Arabidopsis thaliana: one gene and its partner. The gene in region 2 interacts genetically with the main gene of each other region. Each region holds a gene or a part of one and is shown on either strand. Other genes may lie near its edges.

The links.
Region 1: of KCS1 (region 2) and AKR2, extra expression of one rescues a mutant of the other (dosage rescue), as found in Arabidopsis thaliana (one study listed by BioGRID).

The regions. Positions count from the first base shown.
Region 1 is NC_003075.7:16,837,318-16,841,245, reverse strand, and holds the start of AKR2 (ankyrin repeat-containing protein 2), read right to left. Parts: upstream 1,715-3,928; 5' UTR 1,500-1,714; exon of another isoform or gene 1,402-1,499; 5' UTR 1,385-1,401; coding exon 1,348-1,384; intron 1,319-1,347; exon of another isoform or gene 1,252-1,318; coding exon 1,118-1,251; intron 1,037-1,117; coding exon 824-1,036; intron 730-823; coding exon 581-729; intron 515-580; coding exon 328-514; intron 199-327; coding exon 106-198; intron 1-105. Other genes in the region: CLC-E (chloride channel E), read left to right, coding at 1,901-2,588, 2,682-2,885, 2,967-3,430, 3,600-3,928. UniProt on the Arabidopsis thaliana protein: Exhibits chaperone activity toward chloroplast outer envelope membrane, mitochondrion outer membrane, endoplasmic reticulum membrane and peroxisomal proteins, by recruiting specific proteins containing a single transmembrane associated with an AKR2A-binding sequence (ABS) and subsequently binding glycolipids (e.g. monogalactosyldiacylglycerol (MGDG) and phosphatidylglycerol (PG)) present in the membrane of the target organelle.
Region 2 is NC_003070.9:57,144-61,071, forward strand, and holds KCS1 (3-ketoacyl-CoA synthase 1), read right to left. Parts: upstream 2,073-3,928; 5' UTR 1,836-2,072; coding exon 249-1,835; 3' UTR 21-248; downstream 1-20.

The DNA of each region.
Region 1 (3,928 bases), on a different chromosome or scaffold from region 2:
CAATTGAATGATTATAAAGATTCTTAACTTCACAGCTACTGAAAAAAAGAGAACCATCTAAATCCGAATATTTAATTGCCGTGAATTGATAAGAGAATTGCATACCTCGCCGTATCCACAAGCAAAATGCAATGCTGTCCTTCCTTCAGAATCTTCTTCATCTTTGTTACCACCAGATGCCAAGGCAGCTTTCAAACCCTAATGAATCAACGAATAAAAATCCAATAACGAGTTCAACAAAACAAAACTTGGAACATCTAATTCCTCAAGCAACACGCAAGATAAATCTCACATGGTCAAGCATATTAACGTAGGAAGCAGTCTAACCTCAACATCACCAAGACTGGCAGTTTGGTGAACAATAGACTCTTCTTCTTCACCTTCTTCTGCTACCTCAGGTTCAGCTGAAACAGTCTGGTCTGGTAAGCCAGCAACAGGCATACCCATTGCTTCACCCAGCTTTTTCAGCACTTCTGGATCATTCCAGTACCTAAAACAGAATAAATAATTCTTCCTTCATAAACAGAAACAAACTCTACAGTTTCTCTAAAAAACATTGAAAGAAGTTTGTATCACTCACTTCATCATGGCAGAAGGACCACCAGCATCAATCTCATCTAGTATAGGTTTCAACTCTGGATCTTCTTTCATCCGCGCCATACGCTCAGTAAAGTGTTCTGCTGTTTCAGGATTCGAGAAAGCATCCAAAAAAGGAGACATTTGTGGATCCTGTAGGCAAAAAAAATAAATAAAATCAGATAAGACACAGAGCTTCATTCAAAGCCACACCTCGATTAGATGGAAAAAGTCATCAATTCCTAACCTGAACTAAGGCGGTACCAAGTTTCTCGGCCATTGTCTTAAACTCAGGGTTATGCATAACCTGTTGCATTGTATTGACATACTGTTGAGGATCAAAGTTAGGGAAACCACCTTCCTGGCCAGCGTTAGGAATAGATCTCTGAAGCTGCTCAGCCAATTGGTTAAACGCAGGATCTTTAGCTATTTGCTCAGCCATTTCTCTGATGCTAGGATCCTACAAAAAAAACCATTATCAATTAAAAAAAAACTCAAAGAAGATAACTTTTCAATTGTGCTAACAGCAAAGGTAACTTACGTTGAGAATACTAGCCATATTAGAGAAATCAAAAGCATTGAAATTCAAGCCAGGCATAGCTGATGAAGTTGAACTCCCAGAAGCTGATTCCGGCTTAGAACTCTTATTCTCCTCCGTCGATTTGGGTTTCTCATCTACAGTAAACAAATTACAATGAACCAATAACCAAATCTGACTAGAAACGATTCATTATCGCAGATCAGATTGTATACTGAGAAGAAAATAATCACCTGAAAGAAGAGGATTTTTCTCCGAATTGGAAGCCATTAAGTATGACTAAAACCCTACAAAAAACACAATTTTGTTTTCAGGAAAAGGTGTAAACAAGAGATTCAACGAAAATAAGCGAAGAGGAAGACAAAGAAATCGAATCGACAACTACCTAAGAGAATTTAGTAAGAAAAGGAAGAAGAAGAAGAAATTAACCCGAAAAGACAATGTTGTGGTGGCAAACGCTCATGAAACTTGAAATACAGATAATCTTTCTTTTTTTTAATATGACGACAAGAGAAAAATTATTTATTTATCAGCTGGATTTTGGATTGAGAAGAAGATCAACTGCGAGGGACAACAGCCACTGCTTCTCCATTGAAGTTTGAACCTAAAGCTAAGAGGCCTTTTATTTTTAATCAAATTTATTGTTATTGGCCCATATAAACCTGTTTACCTCAAGGCCCAAGCCCATGCGTTTGAATAATAAGATCAGCCACGTAAGATTTGTGATTTAAGATCAAATTATCCGTTAATGGATAAACACGCGTCACTTCACGGAAGCAGCCGTTCATGGCAGCCACGCTTCCACTCTGTGCTGCCCTCCGATCTCCCGTCTCTTCCCGGAGATTCGCTCCAATTCACAAAACCGACGTTCCTTTTCAGTTCAATGTCGTCCTTTCACCGTTTTTCGGTTCCGTCGCTATTGGCGGTAGAATTTTCCCGCGTTTACCGGCGGCGAAGCAGGAGACTGATCAGGATGAGGTTGGATTTGATCAGCAGCCGTCTCAGGAGCTTGCGATAGCGTCGGCTTGTTTGGTTGGTGTTCTCACTGGAGTTAGTGTGGTTCTATTCAACAACTGTGTTCACTTGCTTCGAGACTTTTCCTGGGATGGGATTCCTGATCGTGGAGCTTCGTGGCTTAGAGAGGCACCGATCGGTTCCAATTGGTTGCGTGTTATCCTTGTTCCGACTATCGGCGGTTTGGTGGTGAGCATCCTCAATCAGCTTCGAGAATCTGCTGGAAAATCTACTGGAGATTCTCATTCTAGTCTCGATCGCGTAAAGGCAGTGTTGCGTCCTTTCCTTAAGACTGTTGCCGCATGTGTGACGCTTGGGACTGGAAATTCGCTGGGGCCGGAAGGTCCAAGTGTTGAAATTGGAGCGTCAATCGCTAAAGGTGTGAATTCTCTGTTCAATAAAAGTCCTCAGACTGGCTTCTCACTTCTTGCCGCTGGCTCAGCTGCTGGCATTTCCTCTGGTTTGTTCATCTGATATTTGCTAATGTTGTTCTCTCTTGCGTATGGAACTCTTGATTGATTCGTTAAGAGGACTTTGTTATATGTTGTTACAGGGTTCAATGCAGCTGTGGCTGGATGCTTCTTTGCAGTTGAATCCGTTTTGTGGCCTTCTTCATCAACTGATTCATCAACTTCACTTCCAAACACAACTTCTATGGTTATTCTTAGTGCTGTTACTGCTTCTGTGGTTTCCGAAATCGGTCTCGGCTCTGAACCTGCGTTTAAGGTTCCTGACTATGACTTCCGCTCTCCTGGAGGTAATATGCATTGCCATTCTTATGCTTTTTACGCAAGGGAACCAGAAACCAAACTTATGAGAGCTGGTCACTGATTTTCAGAACTTCCACTCTATCTTTTATTGGGCGCTCTGTGTGGCTTGGTCTCGTTGGCATTATCTCGATGTACATCATCCATGACATCTGCTGTTGACAGTCTTAACAAGGATGCTGGGATACCAAAGGCTGTATTTCCTGTAATGGGTGGATTAAGTGTTGGTATCATAGCTTTGGTATACCCTGAAGTATTATACTGGGGTTTTCAGAATGTGGATATTTTGTTGGAGAAACGTCCATTTGTGAAGGGTCTTTCAGCTGATCTTTTGCTTCAGCTGGTAGCGGTCAAGATAGCTGCAACCGCATGGTGTCGGGCTTCTGGACTTGTCGGTGGATACTATGCTCCTTCTCTCTTTATTGGCGGGGCAGCAGGAATGGCCTATGGAAAGTTTATTGGACTTGCTTTGGCTCAGAACCCTGATTTCAATCTCTCTATCTTGGAAGTGGCATCTCCACAAGCTTATGGTCTGGTACTGTTCTTATGTGGTCAATGTTTCAAAATTGTCTTAATTTCAGACTTTCTTGATTGGTTACCTATCAATACTTTGAACAGAATATTTTTTCGGGTTAACTGAGAATGGATGCTAGTTTTTTTGTAGCTTCATTGCCAATGATCCTGTTTGTCTCATTGTTTAACAGGTTGGAATGGCTGCTACACTTGCGGGGGTTTGTCAAGTTCCTCTTACAGCAGTACTACTGCTATTTGAACTTACACAGGATTATCGTATAGTGTTACCTCTACTGGGAGCTGTAGGCATGTCTTCATGGATTACATCTGGACAATCAAAGAGACAAGAAACTAGAGAAACAAAAGAAACTAGGAAAAGAAAGAGCCAAGAAGCTGTACAGTCTCTGACGTCATCTGATGATGAATCATCAACGAATAACCTTTGTGAAGTTGAAAGTTCTCTTTGCCTTGATGATTCTCTCAACCAATCTGAGGAGCTGCCGAAGAGTATTTTTGTTTC
Region 2 (3,928 bases):
TATCATTTATGGGTGTGTCATTCATTCATGTGTGTGAACGCAGACATAGTGGATTAGAATTTTGTTTGACTTGAGTTAAATTTTCAAATTCTGGTTTACCAAAAGTATGAATAATCAACTAACGTATACCAAACACACATCCATAAATTAATTAAATTATATGATTTTCAATCGACAACTTACATCAACAATTAAAAAATAAAATCAAGAAGAACACAATTACATATATGATTATCCGGTTCAACCAATCATTGCACAACTTTAACCGGATATTGATCAATCGAACCAGCCCAAGCATTACCGGTCATCTCCTCCGTCGAAACCGGTCGTAACGCTTTCCAAACCGCACTATTACACTTGAAACCCGATCCAAACGCAATCTGCCAAAGTCGGTCACCAGCTTTAACCCGACCCTTAGCTTCGGTATAAGCCATCTCATACCAAAGCGAGCTACTCGAAGTGTTACCAAATCTGTGCAAAGTCATTCTAGAAGGTTCCATGTGCCAATCTTTGAGATCAAGATTCTTCTGCACTTCGTCTAGAACCGCTCTACCTCCTGCGTGAATACAGAAATGCTCGAAAGCTAGCTTGAAATCCGGAATATACGGTTTAACTTTTAACTTGAACATCTTCCTTTTGACCAAGGAAATCAAGAACATCAACTGCTCTGACAATGGAAGAACCATCGGTCCTAAAGTCGTGATGTTTGTTTTCAGAGCGTCTCCGGCGACAGACATGAGCTCTCTAGCTAAAGAGACACCGATTGTTCCTCTCTCGTCTTCCTTCTGGTACACGCAATTGTAGTTCTTGTCGTCTGATCCTTTATGTGTTCGAACGACGTTGACCAGCGAGTACTTTGACTTCTTCCGGTCTTGACGGCGGTTAGAGAGGAGAATCGCAGCTCCGCCCATTCGGAAGATGCAGTTGCAGAGGAGCATTGACCGGTCATTTCCGAAGTACCAGTTTAGGGTTATGTTTTCCGTGCTTACCACGACAGCGTAAGAATTAGGGTTTGCTTTGAGGAGATTGTTAGCGAGATCGATTGAGATTAATCCGGCGGAGCAACCCATTCCTCCGAGGTTGTAACTTTTGATGTCTTCTCTCATCTTGTAATGGTTCACGATCATCGCTGATAGAGACGGCGTCGGATTGAATAAGCTGCAGTTTACTATCAAGATTCCGACTTCGGCCGGTTTAATTCCGGTTTTCTCGAAGAGGGAATCTAAGGCTCCAAACATAACGGCTTCAGCTTCGGCACGTGCCTCTGACATATTTAGCTTCGGGGGCGTTGAAGTTATGCCACGTGGCAGATACGTCTCGTCTCCCAAACCGGCCCGGTTCGAGATTCTTTGCTGGAACTGAACCGTGTCATCGGTGAATGATCCATTTTCCTCAGTCATCGTCAAGAACGAATCTACTGATATTTTACGCTCGTCTTCCGGTTTGTAGCAGGAGAAATCCACTAGGTAAACCGGTTTAGACCGGTTAGCCACGTAGAGGGTCAAAACGAAGGAGAGGAAAACCAAGCAGGTAAGTCTCGTCGCCGTGTCGAGTTGAACCGCCTGGTTAGACCAAAGCTCAGAGAACGTATCGAACGTTAGACCGGTTAGCTGAACCAGCACGGTTCCGGTTAAAGGAAGAATAATTAAGAAGAAGAGAATGGTGGTCACGTTGCAAGAGTTGTGAAGTCCAAGCTTCACGTATTTGAGCTTAACGGACGTTAATAAATCCGGCAAACGTCTTCGAATTCTTATAACGGCCGATGATGAATCTCGAAACGCCATCTCCGCCGTTAATCTCTCTCGATCCATCTCAATGCTGTTTGTTCTCTCCATCAGTATAGTTTTGGGTCGAAATATTTCAAACGTAAATCAAGGAAGGATTGAAGATAAAATGTAAAATCTTTAGGCAAATTTGGAGAAATAGAAAGAGAGAGAAAATGAGAATGGGAATTCTAAAATTGGTGAATTAGGAGGATTTTGGTGAAATGAGGGCAAGTAGGGATGGAGAGATATATAGAGTGCAAGAAAGATAAAAATATTTTAAAGATTAATAATAGTAATGACTTAACAAAAAAAAAAAAAAGATGGAATAATATTCGAATTTAATGATGGGTGGTTCCGAGATAATACTATTAGCTCAACTACTTATATGGGACCTTGATATTAAATTAAGTAGTCAGATTATTTTTCATGTTTTGTTCACACGAAATGCAAGTTACAAAAGTCTAACAAAACCTAGCTGAATCTCATAAGTCATATGGTAGATCATAAATTTGGTTTATCTTTTTTTTCACACATATATTTGGGCATCATAACATTCTATTTTGGTGTAACCTAATTTTTTTTTTTTTTGAAGTTTTTGATAAACAACATAACTTGTTAATTATACCACTACAACACAACAAAATATGACATGTTTGTTATATATTTCCTTATAATTAAACTTAAACGTTTTAGACATCCATGATGTTTTTATTAGCAAGTGTATGTAGGTTATCCAAAATTGAGTGAGGGCAAGTTATAAAATTATATATCAATTGAATATTATAAGCAGGTTGGCTGCACGTAGTGCAAATGCACTGGGTCAGCGACGGGTAAGTTGATATAATATGTTGTAAATAGTAAATTTAAAGGGAGAACGTGTTCGAGAAACGTACCTCTCATTCATGAGAAGCGTTCACTGTCCAAATTGCAAGAACAAGGGTAGACGAAAGCGTGTCCCAAATATTCAAATTTGTTATTTCTTTGTATAAATGTGTATCCCACATGCATACAAACTCCTTAATATGGGCCATGGTAAATTGATGATAATGAATTACTATGACTTCTTAATAGCAGCACATTTCGATTTGTTTCTCCATTATATACCATCCCTATTAGCTGTTCCAGTATTGTAGTCATTGTCATTTATAAATTTGCTGTCTTCGTTAAGACGTTTGTTATATAAGGGACCCTTTACATAATGAATTTATTTCATATTATAAATCTGATAAAGAAGTAATTAGTTTTGGAGTTGCATATCTAGTTAGTTTTCGAGTATTTTTCTAGTTATTTCATATTGATTGTGCCAAGGTGTCCAAAATAGACCTCGGACGGGTAGTTGTAGCTTGTAGCTTTGTAGGTAAATAAAATGTTCGGATTTGAGGTCCCAAAGTGGACTTATTGTCCCTGTTTTGTTTTCATTGGGATAAAGTTGTTGGTAAAATGTAATGCTTTTAATAGTTAAATCATTTCTAATATCGTGATTACTGGGAAATAATAGAGAAAAAGAAAACAAAGACAAAAGGCAGCGACGTCGTTTCCATAATATCGTGATTACTGCATGAAACACATGTTTCAACAGTACGCATACCAACTCTCAAACTTCAATATTGGAAAGATCCAGTTCATCAGATGCTAATAATTCATATATTTAGGTTTATGTACAGCATAATGAACAATAGAGAGAATTAATCAATAAACAGATCAAAGTATTAATTTGCAAGATAAATGAAATAATGATGATAATAAATGGTAGACTAGTACCCATGTGTAGACATAAACCAACAATTAATGTTGGTCGGCTTAATACCAACTAACTAGAAACCAGTCCGTCATCAATGTATGAATGTACACACTCACATCTTGCAATAATTTTAAAAAGGACTAACAATTTAAATGGTTGCTACATAAATAAACGATATAGCCTTACATAAAACTAGCGAAAAAGGTTGATATTGGCTGTATAACATGCACAGTACTACCAGGCTCTAACATGCTTCAAAATACCGAATGATTCATTAAATTGAAACATTAGAGTAAACATTTTGTCGTGGTCTTGTATTTGAATTTCAGTATATAACTGTATATAATACAATATTATTGATTTTAATGGTTTTTCAAACAATTTTTTTTTTTAATTACTCGAATTTTTTCTTAATCTCGAA